Linked DNA regions of Macaca mulatta. The protein of the gene in region 1 interacts with the protein of each later gene in a pairwise test. Links are inferred from orthologs where the notes say so. Each region holds a gene or a part of one and is shown in the gene's direction. Other genes may lie near its edges.

Region 1 (5,065 bases):
ACAGGGCTGGACTACTCCCCGCCCAGCGCTCCCAGGTCTGTCCCCGTGGCCACCACGCTGCCCGCCGCGTACGCCACGCCGCAGCCGGGGACCCCAGTGTCCCCCGTGCAGTACGCTCACCTGCCGCACACCTTCCAGTTCATTGGGTCCTCCCAATACAGTGGGACCTACGCCAGCTTCATCCCGTCACAGCTGATCCCCCCAGCCGCCAACCCCGTCACTAGTGCGGTGGCCTCGGCCGCCGGGGCCACCACTCCATCCCAGCGTTCCCAGCTGGAGGCCTATTCCACTCTGCTGGCCAACATGGGCAGTCTGAGCCAGACGCCGGGACACAAGGCTGAGCAGCAGCAGCAGCAGCAGCAGCAGCAGCAGCAGCAGCAGCACCACCTCAGCAGGGCTCCAGGGCTTATCACCCCGGGGTCCCCCCCACCCGCCCAGCAGAACCAGTACGTCCACATTTCCAGTTCTCCGCAGAGCACCGGCCGCACCGCCTCTCCTCCGGCCATCCCCGTCCACCTCCACCCCCATCAGACGATGATCCCACACACGCTCACCCTGGGGCCCCCCTCCCAGGTCGTCATGCAATACGCCGACTCCGGCAGCCACTTTGTCCCTCGGGAGGCCACCAAGAAAGCTGAGAGCAGCCGGCTGCAGCAGGCCATCCAGGCCAAGGAGGTCCTGAACGGTGAGATGGAGAAGAGCCGGCGGTACGGGGCCCCGTCCTCGGCCGACCTGGGCTTGGGCAAGGCAGGTGGCAAGTCGGTTCCTCACCCGTACGAGTCCAGGCACGTGGTGGTTCACCCGAGCCCCTCAGACTACAGCAGTCGTGATCCTTCAGGGGTCCGGGCCTCTGTGATGGTCCTGCCCAACAGCAACACGCCCGCGGCCGACCTGGAGGTGCAACAGGCCACTCATCGCGAGGCCTCCCCCTCCACCCTCAACGACAAAAGCGGCCTGCATTTAGGGAAGCCTGGCCACCGGTCCTATGCGCTCTCACCCCACACGGTCATTCAGACCACACACAGTGCTTCAGAGCCACTCCCGGTGGGACTGCCAGCCACGGCCTTCTACGCAGGGACTCAACCCCCTGTCATCGGCTACCTGAGCGGCCAGCAGCAAGCAATCACCTACGCCGGCAGCCTGCCCCAGCACCTGGTGATACCCGGCACACAGCCCCTGCTCATCCCGGTGGGCAGCACTGACATGGAAGCGTCGGGGGCAGCCCCGGCCATAGTCACGTCATCCCCCCAGTTTGCTGCAGTGCCTCACACGTTCGTCACCACCGCCCTTCCCAAGAGCGAGAACTTCAACCCCGAGGCCCTGGTCACCCAGTCCGCCTACCCAGCCATGGTGCAGGCCCAGATCCACCTGCCCGTGGTGCAGTCCGTGGCCTCCCCGGCGGCGGCTCCCCCTACTCTGCCTCCCTACTTCATGAAAGGCTCCATCATCCAGTTGGCCAACGGGGAGCTAAAGAAGGTGGAAGACTTAAAAACAGAAGATTTCATCCAGAGCGCAGAGATAAGCAACGACCTGAAGATCGACTCTAGCACCGTGGAGAGGATCGAAGACAGCCATAGCCCGGGCGTGGCCGTGATACAGTTCGCCGTCGGGGAGCACCGAGCCCAGGTAATGTTGGCCCGGGTGGCACAGGGATGGGACACCACACCGCAACGCCATCGTCATCTCCTGGCAAGACGAATTGCTTCTATGAGGCAGGATTAAGGGTTCTCAGGTACACCTAGACCTTAGACTCGGCCTTTCCCAACTGCGTTCTCTAGAAAAAATAAGCCCCACTTCCCCATGACCTCTGCTGTGTGTAATGAATTGATCTCCATGCATGGAAAGTGGGGCTAGTTATGGAGTCCTTGAGACAATTCAGAAACTCACCACTTTAGTTGTTTCTTGAATTCTGTGGTCAGGATGAGGAACCCCGATTAGGAAAGGCTGCTGGACATCAGGTCCTTCCAGCGGTCATTCTGCACTTTTTCCTACCAGGAAAAGACAGAGGATGCCGCTGGAGTGAGTGGATTAGGTGCTGAAGCAATCACATCCCATTGCAACATCCATGTTTTAAAATGGATGCTGGGTGCAGTGGTATATGCCTTTGGTCCCGGCTACTCCAGAGGCTGAGGCAGGAGGATCACTTGAGCCCAGGAGTTCGAGGCTGTAGTGAGCTATGGCTGAACCTGTGACTATCACTGCACTCAAGCCTGGGCAACATAGCAAGACCCCGTCTCTAACATATATATAATGTCTTACTATTATTTAGGTATGATAAGGCCAACAGATAGATCAGGAGACAACTCTCTTTAATGAGATAATTTGTTATACTCTCTGATCCCGAGAGGAAGGAGCACTCTACACCAAGAAGTGTAGAGCACCATAAAGTGGGGGGCACCTGGGGAAGCACCAGGTGGGTCAGGAGGCAGAGAGAGTGAGGGGAAATATGGCAGACAACAGCCTTTATTGTGGTTTTCATGAGGCAGGATAAACAGGTTTAGGATTGGCTAGAGTGGATAATTCCAGTGTGCTCTGGGGCATAGGGGCTGTCCCTTGTTGTCTGGCGGCTGGTGCTGGGGTGAGCGATACAGGTGGAAGGTCCAGGCACAGTGGGTCACACCTGTAATCCCAGCACTTTGGGTGGATCACCAGAGGTCAGGAGTTCGAGACCAGCCTGGCCAATATGGTAAAACTCCGTCTCTACTAAAAATACAAAAATTAGCTGGGCGTGGTGGTGGGCGCCTGTAGTCCCAGCTACTCCAGAGGCTGAGGCAGGAGAATTGCTTGAACCCGGGAGGCGGAGATTGCAGTGAGCCGAGATCAGGCCACTGCACTCCAGCTTGGCCAAAGAGCAAGACTCTGTCTCAGACAAAATAAAAAAAAAAAGTTAGCCCCAAGTGTGATGGACCAATATAGGAGTCTGTTGGGGAGTGGGCTCTGGACTGGTTGGTTTGCATATGAAAATCAGGCTTCTAGGAATTAGCTAATCCTGGGAGAGACTATACCTCTGGGATCCGCAAGACCCTAAAATATCAAAGCATCAGAAAGTAAAAGCATGGTTAATACAATCTGAGAAGTCAGGGCTGTCCCAGGTGACCTGCTGGGCTTGGGGTAAAGTCATCTGTAGCCAAGATGAGTCACTTGAAGTATGGTTAGCTGTCTTAATTTCCACAGGCTCCTTCAATCCACCCTTTTCCAGGTTCTTAGATTGATTACATGCATTTATTCCACAGCCCGTTTCTTTCACTGCCCAAGTTGCTGGGAGTCCAGCAGGTTCAGCCTGCAGCTGAGAGCTTTCCTGGCTATCGAGCTCACTTTCTACAAGTGTTTCCATCTAGGATTTGAAAACACTCAAATGGGACAGAGCCTCCTTCCAGCTTGAGTTGAAAATAGTCATGCAATAGCTGCTATTTGGGACATTCAGATAAAATAAAACAAGAAAAAAAGATAAAGTAATTAATGGTTTGAATTATTTTGGGCTTTTTTTTTTTTTTTTCATTTTTGAGACAGTGTTTCTCTGTCTCCTAGGCTGGAATGCAGTGGTGCAATCATAGCTCCCTGTGACCTTGACCTCCTAGACTCCAACGATCCTCCCACCCCAACCTCCCTAGTAGCTGGGACCACAGGTGCATACCACCATGGCCAGCTAATTTAAAAAGTAAAAAACATTTTAGTAGAGATGGGGTCTTGCTGTGTTGTCCAGGCTGGTCTCAAACTCCTTGGGCTCCAAGCAATCCTTCCACCTCGGCCTCCCAAAGCCCTGAGATTACAGACACGAGTCCCCATGTCTGGCTTTTTTGAGCATTTTTTAAAAGCCCAAGTGAGCAAAGGACCAAATCAGTTTTCCAGAACTGCTCCTGAATGACAGGATGTGGGGGCTTGCACAAAGTCAGGGCCCCGCATTGACGAGAGCTTTTAGCCCTGAATACTTTTCTTTGTATTATGAGATGTCACTGTGGGTTTACAGTCTTTGGAAGAGCCCAAGAAAGATTTCCCCAAAGATTTGATTTAAAAAAAAAAAATCAGGATTTTTAAATAAATGACATAATAATAGAGCTCACCAGCCCTCTGTAGTGGCTGTTCACTTCCTGCATGAATGAGGGGTGGGTACTAGGAGAAAGAAAATGCACTGCCGTGAGCAAAGCTGACTCTTCACAGACCCCAGGTGAAACACGGAAAATAAACATGAGCGAAAAGTCATTGCTTTTCAGGGTACTTAGAATCCTTAAAACATTTTTGTGAACAGAGGCAAGTGTGAAAAGAGGTTTTGTTTAGAAACACGACTGGTTCCTTGCCGGCCAGCATCTCCTTCAGCTTGAGAACGAAGGCAGACACTTCAGCTGTGGGCCACACCTCGCAGGCCTGGCAGCCTCCACAGAGCCCAGGCTCTTCTATTCTTTCATTTTTTATTTATTTTTTTTAATTTTTATTTTATTTTTCTATTTTTATTTTTATTTATTTATTTTTTGTTTTTTGGAGACAGAGTCTTACTCTGTCACCCAGGCTGGAGTGCAATGGGGTGATCTTGGCTCACTGCAACCTCTGCCTCTTGAGTTCAAGTGATTCTTTTACCTCAGCCTCCCAAGTAACTGGGATTACAGGCGCAGACCACCACCCCTTGCTAATTTTTGTATTTTTAGTAGAGACAGGGTTTCACCATGTTGGTCAGGCTGGTCTCGAACTCCTGACCTCAGGTGATCCACCGCCTCGGCATCCTACAGTGCTGGGATTACAGGCACGAGCCACCGCGCCCAGCCCCTTACAGCCCTCTTCTGTTCATGGGGGGGAAGAATCTAGGTGTGTTTTTCCCTACTCCAAACTTTGCAAAAGTATTGATTGAATGAAAGAGAAATTGGCTTCTCCATGAAGTCAGAGCCCTGTTCTCATGGTTTTTCCCATAGTGAGATCACTAAGTCCCTCTCCTGACAGCCAGGGTGCAGGTAGAAGTGTTGTCAGGGCCTGTTCGCAGGTCTGTGGGGTCGGGCCCCCATGGCTGTGTTGCATGCCGGGAAGGGCTTCTGCAAAGAAAGGCACGTGTGCTGAGACCTGCTGAAAAGGCAGCTAG
Region 2 (5,065 bases), on another chromosome or scaffold:
GCATTTCTCCTGCCTCGGCCTCCCAAGTAGCTGAGATTAGAGGTGTGTGCCACTGCGCCCAGCTAATTTTTGTGTTTTTAGTAGAGACGAAGTTGTACCATGTTGTCCAGGCTGGTCTCAAACTCCTGACCTCAGGTATTGCACCTGTCTTGGCCTCCCAAAGTGCTGGGATTACAGGCATGAGCAACCATGCCTGGCCTGTCATTCTTATTTTCTAAGAACTTTAGAGTATTCACCAAGGTATTCTAAAGTAAACAGGAATTTTTAATAGTTAAGCTATTATTTCTCTTTGTCACTTTTGAGTTTAAGGAGAGTGAAGATAGAGTTAGGGCTCATATGTGAGAGGTTGATGAAGCATTGTAGTGTATATTTTGAAATGTGCCACTTTGATGTTCAAGAGTAGAGTGTACAATCATGACAACAACAGTTGACTTACTCAAAATGAATAGGTAATTAAAATGCCTCTAGTAGCAGAAATAGCTTGCATTGGAAATGGCATTTGTAATCCTGAACAAGTTACTTGACTTAGTGTTTTATTTACTCTAAATATAAAGGCGTTAAAGTATATGAGCATAGCTGGGAGAGGTGTAGAAGTTGACAGATAAAGAATTACCTGGTTTCCCTAAAGTTAGAATGTGTGTCATTTTGAAATACTACTGTCTGAATAAATTATTCAGGCTTTTTGCTGTTTGTTTTATGCTGTTTTTCTTTGTATGTAGTTTGATCCAATTTAGCAGTAAATGAAGCTTTTATTAGCAGGTAAATTTATTTTGTTGTTGAGTTTTGATCTTGACACCCAGGCTGGTGTGCAGTGGTGTTTTCTCAGCTCCCTGCAACCTCTGCCTCCTGAGTTCAAGCCATTCTCCTGCCTCAGCCTCCTGAGTAGCTGGGATTACAGGCATCTGGCACCACACCCAGCTAATTTTTCTATCTTTAGTAGAGACAAGGTTTCACCATGCTGGCCAGGCTGGTCTTGAACTGCTGACCTTGGGTGATTCACCTGCCTTGGCCTCCCAAATTGCTGGGATTTCGGCCATGAGCCACCATACCTGGCCCAATAGCTAAATTTTAGTCATTACATTTTAACAAATGTTGAACAAGATCTCAACCTTTTTTTAATCTCCTCTCCTCAGAGTATGCTCAGGTAATCAAAATGTTGGGAAATGGACGATTGGAAGCACTGTGTTTTGATGGTGTAAAGAGGTTATGCCATATCAGAGGGAAATTGAGAAAAAAGGTAGGTGTGTGGGTTTCTTTTCCATAAAAGTTTGCTGTAAAAAAAAGTCTCTGCTTTAAATACATGGTCCAAGCAATTTATTTTTGTGAGTTCCCAAAATAATTTATGTAACAATGATCCATGTGACAATGTGAATAAAGAAAAAGTCTTTGATAACTTTTAGATTTACTTTTAAAGAATAATTTCTTTGTTTAACTTCTGTTGTATTCCTGCCAGAAATGTCTACCTTAGTATTGAAGAAACCAGACAAATCTAATATATAACACAAATGGTCTTGACTCAATTAAATGTTAATGCTGTGAAAGAATGAAAAATCTTCCTTTTTACTTTAGATTAAAAGAGATTAATCGGTGCATATCCCTTCATTAGGTTTTGGATTGGGGGAAATAGTTTTAGGTGGTACTATGAAAATTGGAATATGGAATATGTTAGACAATCTATTTGTTATAATACCACATCAGGTAGTTTTATAACTTACACTGATTAAAAGTCTCTACTACTCAGATTTTTAATTAAAATAATAATAACTTTTTTTTTGGCTGAGCTCTGTGGAAGTAGTAGCCAGCATACACTTGTAGTCCCAGCTGCTCAGGAGGCTAAGGCAGGATGATTGCTTGAGCCCAGCCCAGGAGTTCAAGGTTCCCATAAGCTAAAAATTGTGCTAATGCACTCCAGCCTGGGTGATAGAGCGAATCTCTATCTCAGAAAGCAATAAAAATAAAAAATCTTTTTGATATGTTAACATTCTTTCTTTTCCAAATTAGTGGCACTTTTAGGGGTTCTCTTAGTCCATTTGGGCTGCTCATTGACTGGGTAGATTATAAAAAACAGAAATTTTATTTCTCATAGTTTTGGAGAAAGAGAAATCTATTTAACATTTGGTGAGGACCCATTTCCTGATTATTATGTGGTGCCTTCTGGCTTAGTCCACACATGGTAGAAGTGATGAACAAGCTGCCTTGGACCTCTTTTTTAAAACCAAAGATTCCATTATTGAGTGATTAGCCCCCATCGTGTAATGACCTCGCAAAGGTCCAACCTCCTAGTACCATCACCTTGGGGATTCAAATTTCACCATAAATCTTTTGAGGAACACAAACATTAAGACAAGAACGGGGCTGTATTTATGTAGATTGGGCGCTTTTTAGTCATTTTATGTAGACATATCTGTATTTTGGACAATTACATGTCTCTCAATTTCTGAGACAAAGGATCTTTTGGCAGTTTAAACTCTTGAGTAATTGAGATAAAATTGTTATATATTTTTTTAACTTTCTAAGTAAGAAAATTTTAACAAACTCAACTGGATACCGTAGTTTTTTCATGCCGTACCTTAACTATGTACTGCATACAACTATACTACAGATACATATTACAGTGTTTTTTTCCTAATTTATTTTTAATTTTTGAGGTGAGGTCTCACTGTGTTGTCTAGGCCTCTCTACATTGCCTAGGTTGTTCTCAAGCTCCTGCACTGAAGTAATCCTCCTGGCTTAGCCTCCCAGAGTGCTGATATAGGCATGAGACACCTCTCCTGGCATCTAATTAATTTATTATTTTTTCACACTAGGTGAATAGTATACCTGTTTTGTACTTTAGTAAAAATGTTTAGATTCACTAAACATTTTTTTCTTTTGATTTTTATTAAATTAAAAATTTAATGAAAGTTTTTATTTTTAAAATAATCTGCAGTAAATGTCTTACAGGTTTGGATAAATACTTCAGACATTATATTGGTTGGTCTACGAGACTATCAGGTAAAAATAACATTTAAATTTGTGTTGTGACTTTGTATTTAAGCAGTTGTTAATGTTTGGAAGGTACTATATACTAGCATCTTTGACCCGTTCCAGCCCAGGATGATTTCTCACCATTCTGCCTGCCATCATCATTTGTTTAGGGCCAGTTGTGTTTAAGACTATAGTATTTTTCAAATTTGAAATAATTCTCACAGATAGTTAAGGGTATATGTATTTTTGTGGAAAGACATAAATTTTTTAATTCTTTGTTTTCATTGCTAATGTGCAGTAAATATTTTCTTGCAGGCTTGGGCAAGTACTGTAGAACATTCTGTCCTAATCCATTTAAAGGCCAATGGTGTTTCAGGCATTCAGCGAGGTATTTCAGACATTGTAGTTCCCAAATGCCAGTCTGTGAAATAGTATTGGTGCAGGCTGAAATTTCAATGCTCTGAAGTCACATTAGAAGATAACATAGTTAGGATGTTCTTCATGGAACACAATTGTTTGTTTACTTTTTAAATATATATTTTAATAACCTTTTTTTAAATGAGAAAGATAATATATAAGGTAGTAATTTTTATTAGTGTTCTAATTTGGCAAAGGAAAATTTAGTAATCTGGAGACTCATTTACCTAAAATTATTTTTAATATTAATATTTTGAAATTTAAAGTTCTTGAAATCCACATCTGGGAAACCACAAGTCTAGTTGATGCAGTTGAGTAAGTTGGTTCTCCTTTAAAAGTTTTATAGTTTGGTAGTGTAAAGTTAAGATATGCGTACCAAGTAGTTACGGTACAAACTGTTGTAAAGTACAGGCTATAAATTTAAAGTGAGCAGTGTATAACAAAGACAGTGGTGGGGTAACTGTTTAATCTGCAGTGTTGAAACTGTTTACATGCTATAGGTCTGTAAAATACATTTGATTTCTATCCATGGAACTCATCACCATTGCTTAACCACATTGAAAAAGTACTCCTATGTCTATATTTTTATTCTCTTAATATTAGGTAAAGTTTTCTGTAGTCATCTGTTAAATGTAGTTGGTTTATAATGTTCAAGTCTTCTGTTGATCTTTTGTCTGATTCTTTTCATTACTGTAAGTGGCATATTGAAGTTACTCTACTTTTCATCTTGAGAATTTCTACTTTTTGCATGACTTCAGTGTCTTTATTGACTTTCTGTTTAGTGAAATACCATTTTCATAATTTTCTTAACATTTTTAGACAGGATTTCTTTTTAAGTCTTTAAATATGTTTATAATCTCTCAGATAAACCAAGTCCAACTTCTGGGATTCCTCAGGAATAGTATTTTTTTTTCCCCCTGTGTTTGAGTCACTTTTTTACGTCTCTCTTTCTTTTTTTTTAAGCTGAACATTTTAACTACAACATAGCAGTTCTAGAAATCAGATTCCTACCTCTCAGCGTTGTTGTTGGTACTGCTTGTTTGGTGACTTTTCTGAACTAATTCTTTGGCCATTGAATAGTTGGTTAGTTTAGTGGGCAGTTCATGTTTCAATTAAGATTTCATTAAAATGAGCAAGATTTTAATCATTTAAAGAGGAATATTGTACATTTAGAGGAATACTTTCAACATTCAGCCAATGTCAGTCAACTGACACCTCTTCCTTAGTCTTCATTTCTTGCTGTGCAGGATCTGAAGTTCAGTTGGGTAATATTAGGGCTTTCCTATGTCTTTCTTTATCGTGTGCGCTACCCTGTACACATATTTGGCCTTTAAGATTTGCCAGAAGTATGTTAGACTTTACAAATTTCCTATGGATATCTCATTCCAAAGCTTTTCCAAGATTTTTGGTTATTATTTGTCCCAACTAGTATTACCACTTAAGGCATGTTAAAAAATTGCCACAGATTCCAGCACTTTGGGAGGCCGAGGCAGGTGGATCAGGAGGTCAGGAGATCAAGACCATCCTGGCTAACAAGGTGAAACCCCATCTCTACTAAAAATACAAAAAATTATCTGGGCGTGGTGGCAGGCATCTATAGTCCCAGCTACTTCGGAGACTGAGGCAGGAGAATGACATGAACCTTGGAGGCGGAGCTTGCAGTGAGCTGAGATTGCGCCAC
Region 3 (4,243 bases), on another chromosome or scaffold:
GGGAGGTAGAGGTTGCAGTGAGCTGAGATCACGCCACTGCACTCCAGGCTTGGCAACGGAGACTCTGTCTCAAACAAACCAACAAATAGATGCAGGCAGCAACATGGAGACATCTCACCGATAACAGAGTGTGTTGAAAAAGCCAGGCACAGGAAAGAAGCCACACATACAAGAGTTCCAAAGCAGAAAAAAACTATGGTGACAGAAGTCAGTCAGAAAGCGGGGGACCCCAGCGGGGGAAGTATTGCTGAGTGAAGGGTGTGCTCTAGGGGGTCACGAATGTCCCATGCTTTGCTCTGGATGGTGGTTACACAGGAAACATTTCCTCGGGCTGTGTGCACTTTACTCTGTATAAGTGACACTCCCATTTTAAAACAGAAATGTAAAAACCCAAACAAATAAAAAGTCAAAGTACAAAGGCAAATATAACAAACATCCTTGCTCCCCCCAAGTAAATAGTTTTCAGCATTCCGATATATTTGTCATCAGCCTTTATATTGTTTTGTTTTGTTTTTTATTGTGTTATTTTATTTTATTTATTTATTTTTTTGAGACAGAGTCTCGCACTGTCGCCCAGGCTGGAGTGCAGTGGTGCAGTCTCGGCTCACTGCAACCTCCGCCTCCCAGGTTGTTCAAGTGATTTTCATGCCTCAGCCTCACGAGTAGCTGGGATTACAGGCACGCACCACCACACCCCCGGCTAGTATTTGTATTTTTAGGAGAGACAGGGTTTCCCCATGTTGCCCAGGCAACATGCCCAGGTCTCAAACTCCTGACTTCAAGTGATCCGCCTGCCTTGGCCTCCCAAAGTGCTGGGATTCCAGGCATGAGCCACTACACTTGGCCTGGTTTGGTTTTTAAAAGATCGGTCTCAGGCCGGGCGCGGTGGCTCAAGCCTGTAATCCCAGCACTTTGGGAGGCCGAGGCGGGCGGATCACAAGGTCAGGAGATCGAGACCACAGTGAAACCCCGTCTCTACTAAAAATACAAAAAATTAGCCGGGCGCGGTGGCGGGCGCCTGTAGTCCCAGCTACTCAGGAGGCTGAGGCAGGAGAATGGCGGGAACCCGGGAGGCGGAGCTTGCAGTGAGCCGAGATCGCGCCACTGCACTCCAGCCTGGGCAACAGCGTGAGACTCCGTCTCAAAAAAAAAAAAAAAAAAAAAAAAGATCGGTCTCACTCTGTCACCTAAGCTGGAGTGCAGTGGTGTGATCATGGCTCACTGCAAGCCTCAAACTCCTGGGCTCAAACAGTCCTCGCACCTCAGCCTCCTGAGTAGTAGCTGGGACTGCAGGCACCTCTATTATTTTTTTTTAGGAAATGTACACTTTCAGACTAAATGAAGACTTTGCTTTGTAGTCTATACCAGGTCCACTTCCTCCCCTGTGTTCTGCCCCAGAGTCCACCACTGTGAGGAGGTCCTGGTGTTCCCTCCTGTCTATTTTAAACTTCCACACCCGGAAGACCCCAAAACCAGTATAGAGTAGGTTTCTGTGTTAATTTACATAAATGGCATCCCCTGGGGGCAGGCAGCAGTGAGAGCTTTCCCTCTGCTGTTTGCCACTGAGCTCATGTGCCTAGTTCTAGCTCCGTCTTTCAGACCACTCTGCAGTGCTTCATGCAGGGAACAGACCACTGCTTAGTTATGCAGTCTGTGGATGGACATGGCAGTTGCTTTTACTTTTTTGCTGTTTAACTCACTCTTGTGCAAACCTCGGTGGGCCCTTGTGGGAGTGTTTCTGGGGGCTCTAGTCCTAGGATCCTGGGACCCCCGTACTCTTCTTCTCCCCCACTGTCACGGGATAGACAGGTCACGGTCTCTCTGTCACCCCCAGGTGGTCAAGGTGGTGGGCAGCAACATCTCCCACAAGCTGCGCCTGTCTCGGGTGAAGCCCACGGACGAAGGCACCTACGAGTGCCGCGTCATCGACTTCAGCGACGGCAAGGCCCGGCACCACAAGGTCAAGGCCTACCTGCGGGTGCAGCCCGGGGAGAACTCCGTCCTGCACCTGCCCGAAGCCCCTCCGGCCGCGCCCGCCCCGCCGCCCCCCAAGCCAGGCAAGGAGCTGAGGAAGCGCTCAGTGGACCAGGAGGCCTGCAGCCTCTAGACTGATGCCCCTGCCCCTGCCCACCCGCCCCCACGCTGTACAGAGTGCATGAGGAGCCGCCGGACCACTGGGGACGGACTGCCTGCGTCCAGCCGCGCCCTATCCCTGAGGCCGCCTGTGGCCACCATGTCGGCCCTCTTTCCACCACCCCTTGCTCAGCATGTAAGCCCCACCCACCCCTGCCCTTGCAGACCCCTGTGGTGACCTGGCTCGGAGAAGGTGGCCCTGGGCACCAAGGGGCCGTCCGCCCTGAACACTGGGGCGGGGACCATGCTGGGGCCCAGGGCCACCCCCTTCCTGTCACCAGCTTCTGTGGAGTCCAGTGTTTTGCTTTGCTTGCTTGTTCCCATCCTGTCCTGAGCCGGGGCCCCCAGCCTCACCTCCCTCCTCCTACCATCCCTCACTTGGACCTGGGGGTGTGGACAGTGACCCCTCCCTGAATATGAACTTGAGTCTTCTGAGCAGAACTAGGGCCTCTCCCCTGGTGAAGACTCAGGGAACAGAGTTCCCAGGAGGGCCCTTCTGGGGCAGTGGCTCTGCAGGGTCACTCACGGAGGCCTGCGGGAACAGCGAGACGCCCCACCACCTCCTGGCGGGTCCTTCCTGTTCAGCTCCCTGTGCGACCCTCCAGGGATGCAGGGGATCCAGGATTCTCTGCCCTGTCACAAGGCAAGTCAGAAGGGAGGGGTCTTCCCCTCGGACCCACGGCCCCAGGCAGAGTTTTACACCAGCAGGACCCCTTTGAGGGTCTTCAAGGCTCTCCCAGGAGTCCCCCTCTGCCGGCCCCCAATGCCCCAGCCCCCTCTTGGGTCCTGTGCCAAGTCCACCCCAGGGCCTGGGGCTGTTGGGAGCCAAGGGCCCCCTGGTACTCAATTCCCTTACGATTCCCTATCAGGGGGACACCTGCCCCCTGGTTATTTGTAAATATTTCTATTGGATCCAATTACCCTTGGAATTGGCTCGCACCTCTGGTTGCTGCTCAGTGATGATGTGGGGGAGGTGGGAGAGGCCGAGGGCTTTGCCTAGGGGTGGAGTGCCCTGTATACATGATCCAGTCCGTGATTACCAGCCAACCTGAATAAAGCGGTTTTAAAAAAACCTCTGGGCAGTGTCTTTCTGGGGCATTTGTGCCTGGGGGCGGTGTGTGGGGTGGAGGCGGGAAAGCAGGTGGCTAGCTCACACCCACGCCTCACTCAGCATCTTTCTCCTGCTTTGCACCCCAAGCAGCGCCTGGCTTTGCAGTGCAGAGCACAGGACCGGTGGGGGCAGAGGGAGAGGGTGGGAGACAACCAGCTTTTGTTCAGCTCCAATCCTGTTACCAGGCACTCGAATTACTCTTTGCCTCTGAGATAATCACCCACAGAGAAGACTGCATAAAACATGTTTACACAGTTTTGTAAATAATGTAAAGCAAATACTTGTGTAGTCACTACCTACCAAACACAGCACCCCAAAAGAGAACCTCCCCAAGCCTCATGTGTCACCTCCATCCATCCCTTCTCCCTGTTAGAGGCAGCCACTGTCCCGACGTTTAAGGTTTTTTTTTTTTTTTTTGAGACGGAGTTTCACTCTGCCACCCAAGCTGGAGTGCAGTGGTGCAATCTCGGTTCACTGCAACCTCCATCTCCCAGGTTCCAGTGATTCTCCTGCCTCAGCCTCCCGAGTAGCTGGGACTATAGGCATGTGCCACCACACCTGGCTAATTTTTTTGTATTTTTATTAGAGCTGGGGTTTCGCCATGTTAGCCAGGATGATCTCGAGCTCCTGACCTCGTGATCTGCCCACCTCAGCCTCCCAAAGTGCTGGGATTACAAGCGTGAGCCACTGTGCCTGGCAGGTTTTTTTTGTTTTTGTTTTTGTTTTTTTTGTATTTTTAGTAGAACTGGGGTTTCGCCATGTTGGTCAGGCTCGTCTCAAACTCCTGACCTCAAATGATTCACCCGCCTCAGCCTTCCAAAGTGCTGGGATTACAGGTGTGAGCCACTGTGCCCAGCCGGTAATCCCATTCTTAATGTTCTTTTTGTAGTCTTACTACCTAGGTGTATGTCATTTTATTTTTGAAGTTCCGGGGTGCATGTGTAGGATGTGCAGGTGTGTTTCACAGGTGAATGTGTGCCATGGTGGCTTGCTGCACCT
Region 4 (5,065 bases), on another chromosome or scaffold:
AAATCATCCTACCAGGTCTAATGGGCAAAGGCTAACAAAAGCTGAACCTTGAGGAAAGAGTTTTCCAAGCCAGAGAAGTAGAGGAAGGACTTGTATTTCTTTGATTAACCAGCTGTGTTGCTTATAAAGCTCTTTATATACTTTTCTCCTCAGTATTTTAGTTTTTGCTTAATAGTTTTGCCACTTACAAAGAATTGGCTGGTGTCATCATCGTGAGTGGTGGTGAGTTAGGGAAGGCAGCATAGCTTTTGTGTATTTGGTATGAGGTGAAGGAATCAGTTGGGGAAATAGCAAATGGTAAGCTTACATGTGTCTTTTTATCCTAATACTCCCTGTCAGTGGTGATGCAGTCTTTTAGGATTCTGCTAATAGCTGTGTGATCTTGGGTAAGTGATTTCTTCTCTTTGGATTCCATTTTCCACCACTTTAAAATGGGAGGATTGGTATTAGATGGGCATTTCCTATTAGTAGGTGGGGAAAAAGGAGAAACAGTGACCAAATAAGTTTGTGAACATAGGTAAACAAAGTTAAATAGATTTCTTTACTGCAGCCTCATACATTATGGCATATGAATTGGATTGCTGGACTTCTAACTTGGCCATGCAAGTTAAGTGAGAGTCAGTAATATGAGTCCAGCTCTGTCTTTTTCCTAATGGTTTAGTGGAAAGAGCATGGGCTTTAGAATCAGACATATCTGGGTTTGAATCCTGAGTACTCCTTAGTAGCTTTATGGCTTTATAAATTATCTAACCTTTCTGAACTTGTCTCCTCATATGTAAATCAGGCAGGATAATGCCCTGGGGAGTTGTAAAGATTATGACATTCCATATGAAAATATCAAATCGAGTATCTGATATATAATTGGTCACAAAAGGTATAACTTAAGTCTACAAATTCCAGAGTTAGTATAGAATGTAACACTTGATAATAGCTATTGATATCCTGGCTACATCTGGTGTTTGAGGTGGACTGTTTGTTGTTTCATATATACTTATAATTTTCCCCAAGAAAACAAAATATTCTTGAGGGCACATCATTATGTTTTACCGTCTACATAGCATTCGACATTCTCCTGGAGACTCAATAAGTGCTTGATAAATACCTGACAGTTTCATCAAAACAGTGGAATAAAGTGAGGTGTGGTTTTCCCTGGTGTATAGTTTATCCTATATCTCTTATAACCAAGGGTAGAAGTCAATTTATGAATAATAATTTTAAATTTTTTTGGTTACTTATGTTAAATGATTAAATTTGAAGTTTGAAATAATTAGGATTATAAGTGAACTGGCATTTATTTACTTAAGTAAACCATAGGAAGGGGGTTATAATAAAGTGTCATTTAATAGTGTAAATTATGTTATTGGAATACTAATGTTTTACATTTTGTTTTTTCTCTAAGCAAATGGTTATGAGCCTTAGAGTTTCTGAACTCCAAGTACTGTTGGGCTACGCTGGGAGGAACAAGCACGGACGCAAACACGAACTTCTCACAAAAGCCCTGCATTTGCTAAAGGCTGGCTGTAGTCCTGCTGTACAAATGAAAATTAAGGAACTCTATAGGCGGCGGTTCCCGCAGAAAATCATGACGCCTGCAGACTTGTCCATCCCCAACGTACATTCAAGTCCTATGCCAGCAACTTTGTCTCCATCTACCATTCCACAGCTCACTTACGATGGTCACCCTGCATCATCGCCATTACTCCCTGTTTCTCTTCTGGGACCTAAACATGAACTGGAACTCCCACATCTTACATCAGCTCTTCACCCAGTCCATCCGGATATAAAACTTCAAAAATTACCGTTTTATGATTTACTGGATGAACTGATAAAACCCACCAGTCTAGGTAAGATTATTGTATGATGGTATTTGGTTACTTTTGCAGGATGAATTTTCATTTTAGACTTTTACTTTGACCCAGTTTATTATTCATAATGAAATTTTCATTTGATAGTAACAGCTGGATAATAATGAAGATCTTTCAAATTTAGATAAAATCAAATATATAAAAGCTATCTTTCAGAGGAAAAAAGGTAGTATATTGATGGTTACTGACACAGTAAATATTAAAAAGTTTCAAGAATATAAACTTCCAAAGAGGAGTCTTTTAGAAGATTGATTACTATTTTACAATATCTCTTATAAATTAGAAAATTAAAAGCGAGTAAGTCACTACAAGTCTCTGATTAGTTCTTAATTTTCAGGGATTGATGATCTCTAAAACAAGTCACTTACTAGTTTTGATTATTTAAATGAGTGAATGGTTTTAATGATTGTAAAAGGAGACTTGAGCTTTGATGTGTGTGGTAGTTAAATTTCAGCTGATTTTTTTCAAGTGGAGAAGTGCATGCTTTATAAGCATGCACATGCACACTCTTGATTACAGTTATATAATATAAATGCTTGAAATTTATTTTGCTGTGTTGTTACATCATTTGATTTGTAGTCTAGCATATAGAATTCAATATATTAACTTGTAATTTTAATTGGTATAATGCTACCTTATTTACTTAATGTAGAATAAAACTCAACTGTTGTGACCTCTGACGCCTTTGGTGTAATATATTTAAAATATCAGACTTCTAAATGCTGGTTTGTTGGCATACTATGGCTGGCAAGCTAAATCCAGTCTGTGACCTGTTTTTGTGTGATTCTGAGCTAAGAAATCTGAAAAATATTCCTAAAGAGTTATTAAAAAAAAAAAGAAGAAAGAAAAACAAAGAATATGTACAGAGACCATCTGTGCCCGCAAAGCGCAAAATATTTACCCGTATAGTGAAAGCTTGTGAATCCCTGTTACAAATCATTGAATGTTTCAGTTTGGGGGATTGGCAAGTGTTGAGAACATTTTTTGCGAATTTTTGAGAACATTTTGAAAATGTTTTACTGAAATTCTATCTTTGAAATATGAGGTGTTTGTTCTTAATTATATGTAGCAGAATTTACCTGAGTACATGAAGATTATAGGAATCATTTGAAACAACATGAGTTTTGTATCACATTATTTCATTTTTTAAGTGGCCATAATAAGAAAACATTTTTTGAGAATCTACTGTATGCTTATAAAACTGATACATGCTCATTGTAAAAAATGGAATTGCCAAAGTCCCTTCCTTGTTAGCTGTTTAGTGTGTATGCATATATAGTACAAGCAAGTTGTTTCTTGTTTTTTTACAGAAGGAATCATATACATAGTATTGTTTAACTTCCCTTTTTTCCCCTTAATAATATATCATAAGCATCTTTTCTTGTCTGTCTGATATATATATCTATCTATCTCCCATTTTAAATTAAAGGCCATATCTGTATCTATCTATATATCTCTATATATGGTCTGTATGTGTACATATATGTATGTGTACATATGTGTTATGTATTGATCAGTTGATGAAAACGTTGTGACCAGGGGCTTGCAGGAACTTAACCTTATACTTCCCCTAGTAGCAGCAATTATATATTCACAAATTCAGTGTTTGTGGTGATTTTATAGAACATAACTGTCACAAATAACAATAATTGACGGATAATTTGATTTGAATGCCAGTTTCCATGAATAAATCTGCTGTTTGTGGTATGTATTCACAGAAAGTCACCAAATGAATAGGTGGTGTAGAATTGCTTAGTGGTATGTAAATAGATTTTCAGTATCTCATTGTTATAGAATTAAAAACAGACCAATTTGAATATGCATAAAAAGATCTCACCAGAAAGTAATCTGTGGAAGTTTATTGGCTCAATAAATATTTGTTGCAGGGGAATGCTTAGTGAATGTGAAAAATATTTATTGAAAAAAGATTTTATGTAATTAGTCTTCAGGGTTTATTTAGACTGAGTATATTTTAAGGCTCTGTTTTTACAGATTCTTTAACATTATTAAGACTTTTTCTGTAAATGAAGTGGCTACATTTGTCACAGAACTTAGTTTCCTAAATGATTATTTTTGCCAGTGGTTCATTTGTTTTAAATCTTTTAGAAAACCATGTTTTCTGAAAAATTTAATAGCTTCCAGCATTCTCTTTCTTTCTAAACATACATACATTTAAAATCAAGTTTTTAAGAACATAGTTTCGAACACCAGCTGGCTAGTTGATCACAGCTATCACTGAGTCCAGAATGGGACAGGCACATTTAGTTTTTCATTTTTTCCCTTCTGTTGTGGTCTTAAGCACCAGATTTAAAGAAATTTTAAGATGTTCAAATGTAAACTGAATGTTTTCATGCATGGTTTGTATTTCTAACTAAAATGGAAACAGTAGTTCTGATAATTCCCATTTTTTTAGATAATTCTCGTTCATTCTTACAATCATTTTGTTATTTCTTTAAATCAATTAAAAATAATTCTAAGGCCTTTATTTTAGAGCCATAATTAAAGTATTCTTTTCATTGTCCATAATTAACTGTAAGAATTGAGAGGTGAAGTAAAAGGTTGTTGTAAAGTAAGATATTTAATTTATTGTTTACTTTTGCCTGTCATTATCTCAATTCTGTTTTTTTCTATGAGGCTTATTTCAGATGCTCTTTTTCTTTAACCTTTTTCATTTATCTTTCTAGGCTTTCCTCCTTTCATCTGTATATTTCTTCCACAGCCAGAATCAATTTCACTTTCTCCACATGCTCTCATAACATTTATTTTTTATTTTTATTTTTAATTTTTTGAAACAGAGCCCCACTCTGTAGCCCAGGCTGGAGTGCAGTGGCACAATCTGGGCTCACTGCAACCTCCGCCCCACTGGGTTCAAGCGATTCTCATGCCTCATCCTCCCATGTGGCTGGGACGTACAGGCACGTGCTACCATGCCCAGCTAATTTTTTATTTTTAGTAGAGATAGGGTTTCACCATGCTGGCCAGGCTGGTCTTGAACTCCTTAGTTGATCCGCCCACCTCTGCCTCCCAAAGTTCTAGGATTACAGGTGTGAGCCACTGCTCCCGGCCTCATAACATTTATTTTTAAAATTTTATTTTATTTTATTTTATTTTATTATTTGAGACAGGGTCTTGCTCTGTTGCCCAGGCTGGAGCACAGTGGTGCAATCTCAGCTCACTGCAACCTCTGTCTTTCGGGCTGA

What was found.
Region 2: the proteins of ATXN1 (region 1) and EIF1AY interact in binary tests that used the Homo sapiens proteins (3 or more experiments, as listed by UniProt). The link is inferred for Macaca mulatta from reciprocal best matches to the Homo sapiens genes ATXN1 and EIF1AY.
Region 3: the proteins of ATXN1 (region 1) and VSTM2L interact in binary tests that used the Homo sapiens proteins (3 or more experiments, as listed by UniProt). The link is inferred for Macaca mulatta from reciprocal best matches to the Homo sapiens genes ATXN1 and VSTM2L.
Region 4: the proteins of ATXN1 (region 1) and PIAS1 interact in binary tests that used the Homo sapiens proteins (3 or more experiments, as listed by UniProt). The link is inferred for Macaca mulatta from reciprocal best matches to the Homo sapiens genes ATXN1 and PIAS1.

Annotation. Positions count from the first base shown.
Region 1 is NC_133409.1:166,756,615-166,761,679, forward strand, and holds part of ATXN1 (ataxin-1), read left to right. Parts: coding exon 1-1,626; intron 1,627-5,065. UniProt on the Homo sapiens protein: Chromatin-binding factor that repress Notch signaling in the absence of Notch intracellular domain by acting as a CBF1 corepressor. Binds to the HEY promoter and might assist, along with NCOR2, RBPJ-mediated repression. Binds RNA in vitro.
Region 2 is NC_133427.1:8,127,861-8,132,925, forward strand, and holds part of EIF1AY (eukaryotic translation initiation factor 1A, Y-chromosomal), read left to right. Parts: intron 1-1,133; coding exon 1,134-1,237; intron 1,238-2,943; coding exon 2,944-2,994; intron 2,995-5,065. UniProt on the Homo sapiens protein: Component of the 43S pre-initiation complex (43S PIC), which binds to the mRNA cap-proximal region, scans mRNA 5'-untranslated region, and locates the initiation codon. This protein enhances formation of the cap-proximal complex.
Region 3 is NC_133415.1:90,805,934-90,810,176, forward strand, and holds the end of VSTM2L (V-set and transmembrane domain-containing protein 2-like protein precursor), read left to right. Parts: intron 1-1,834; coding exon 1,835-2,107; 3' UTR 2,108-3,205; downstream 3,206-4,243.
Region 4 is NC_133412.1:45,638,579-45,643,643, forward strand, and holds part of PIAS1 (E3 SUMO-protein ligase PIAS1), read left to right. Parts: intron 1-1,399; coding exon 1,400-1,844; intron 1,845-5,065. UniProt on the Homo sapiens protein: Functions as an E3-type small ubiquitin-like modifier (SUMO) ligase, stabilizing the interaction between UBE2I and the substrate, and as a SUMO-tethering factor. Catalyzes sumoylation of various proteins, such as CEBPB, MRE11, MTA1, PTK2 and PML.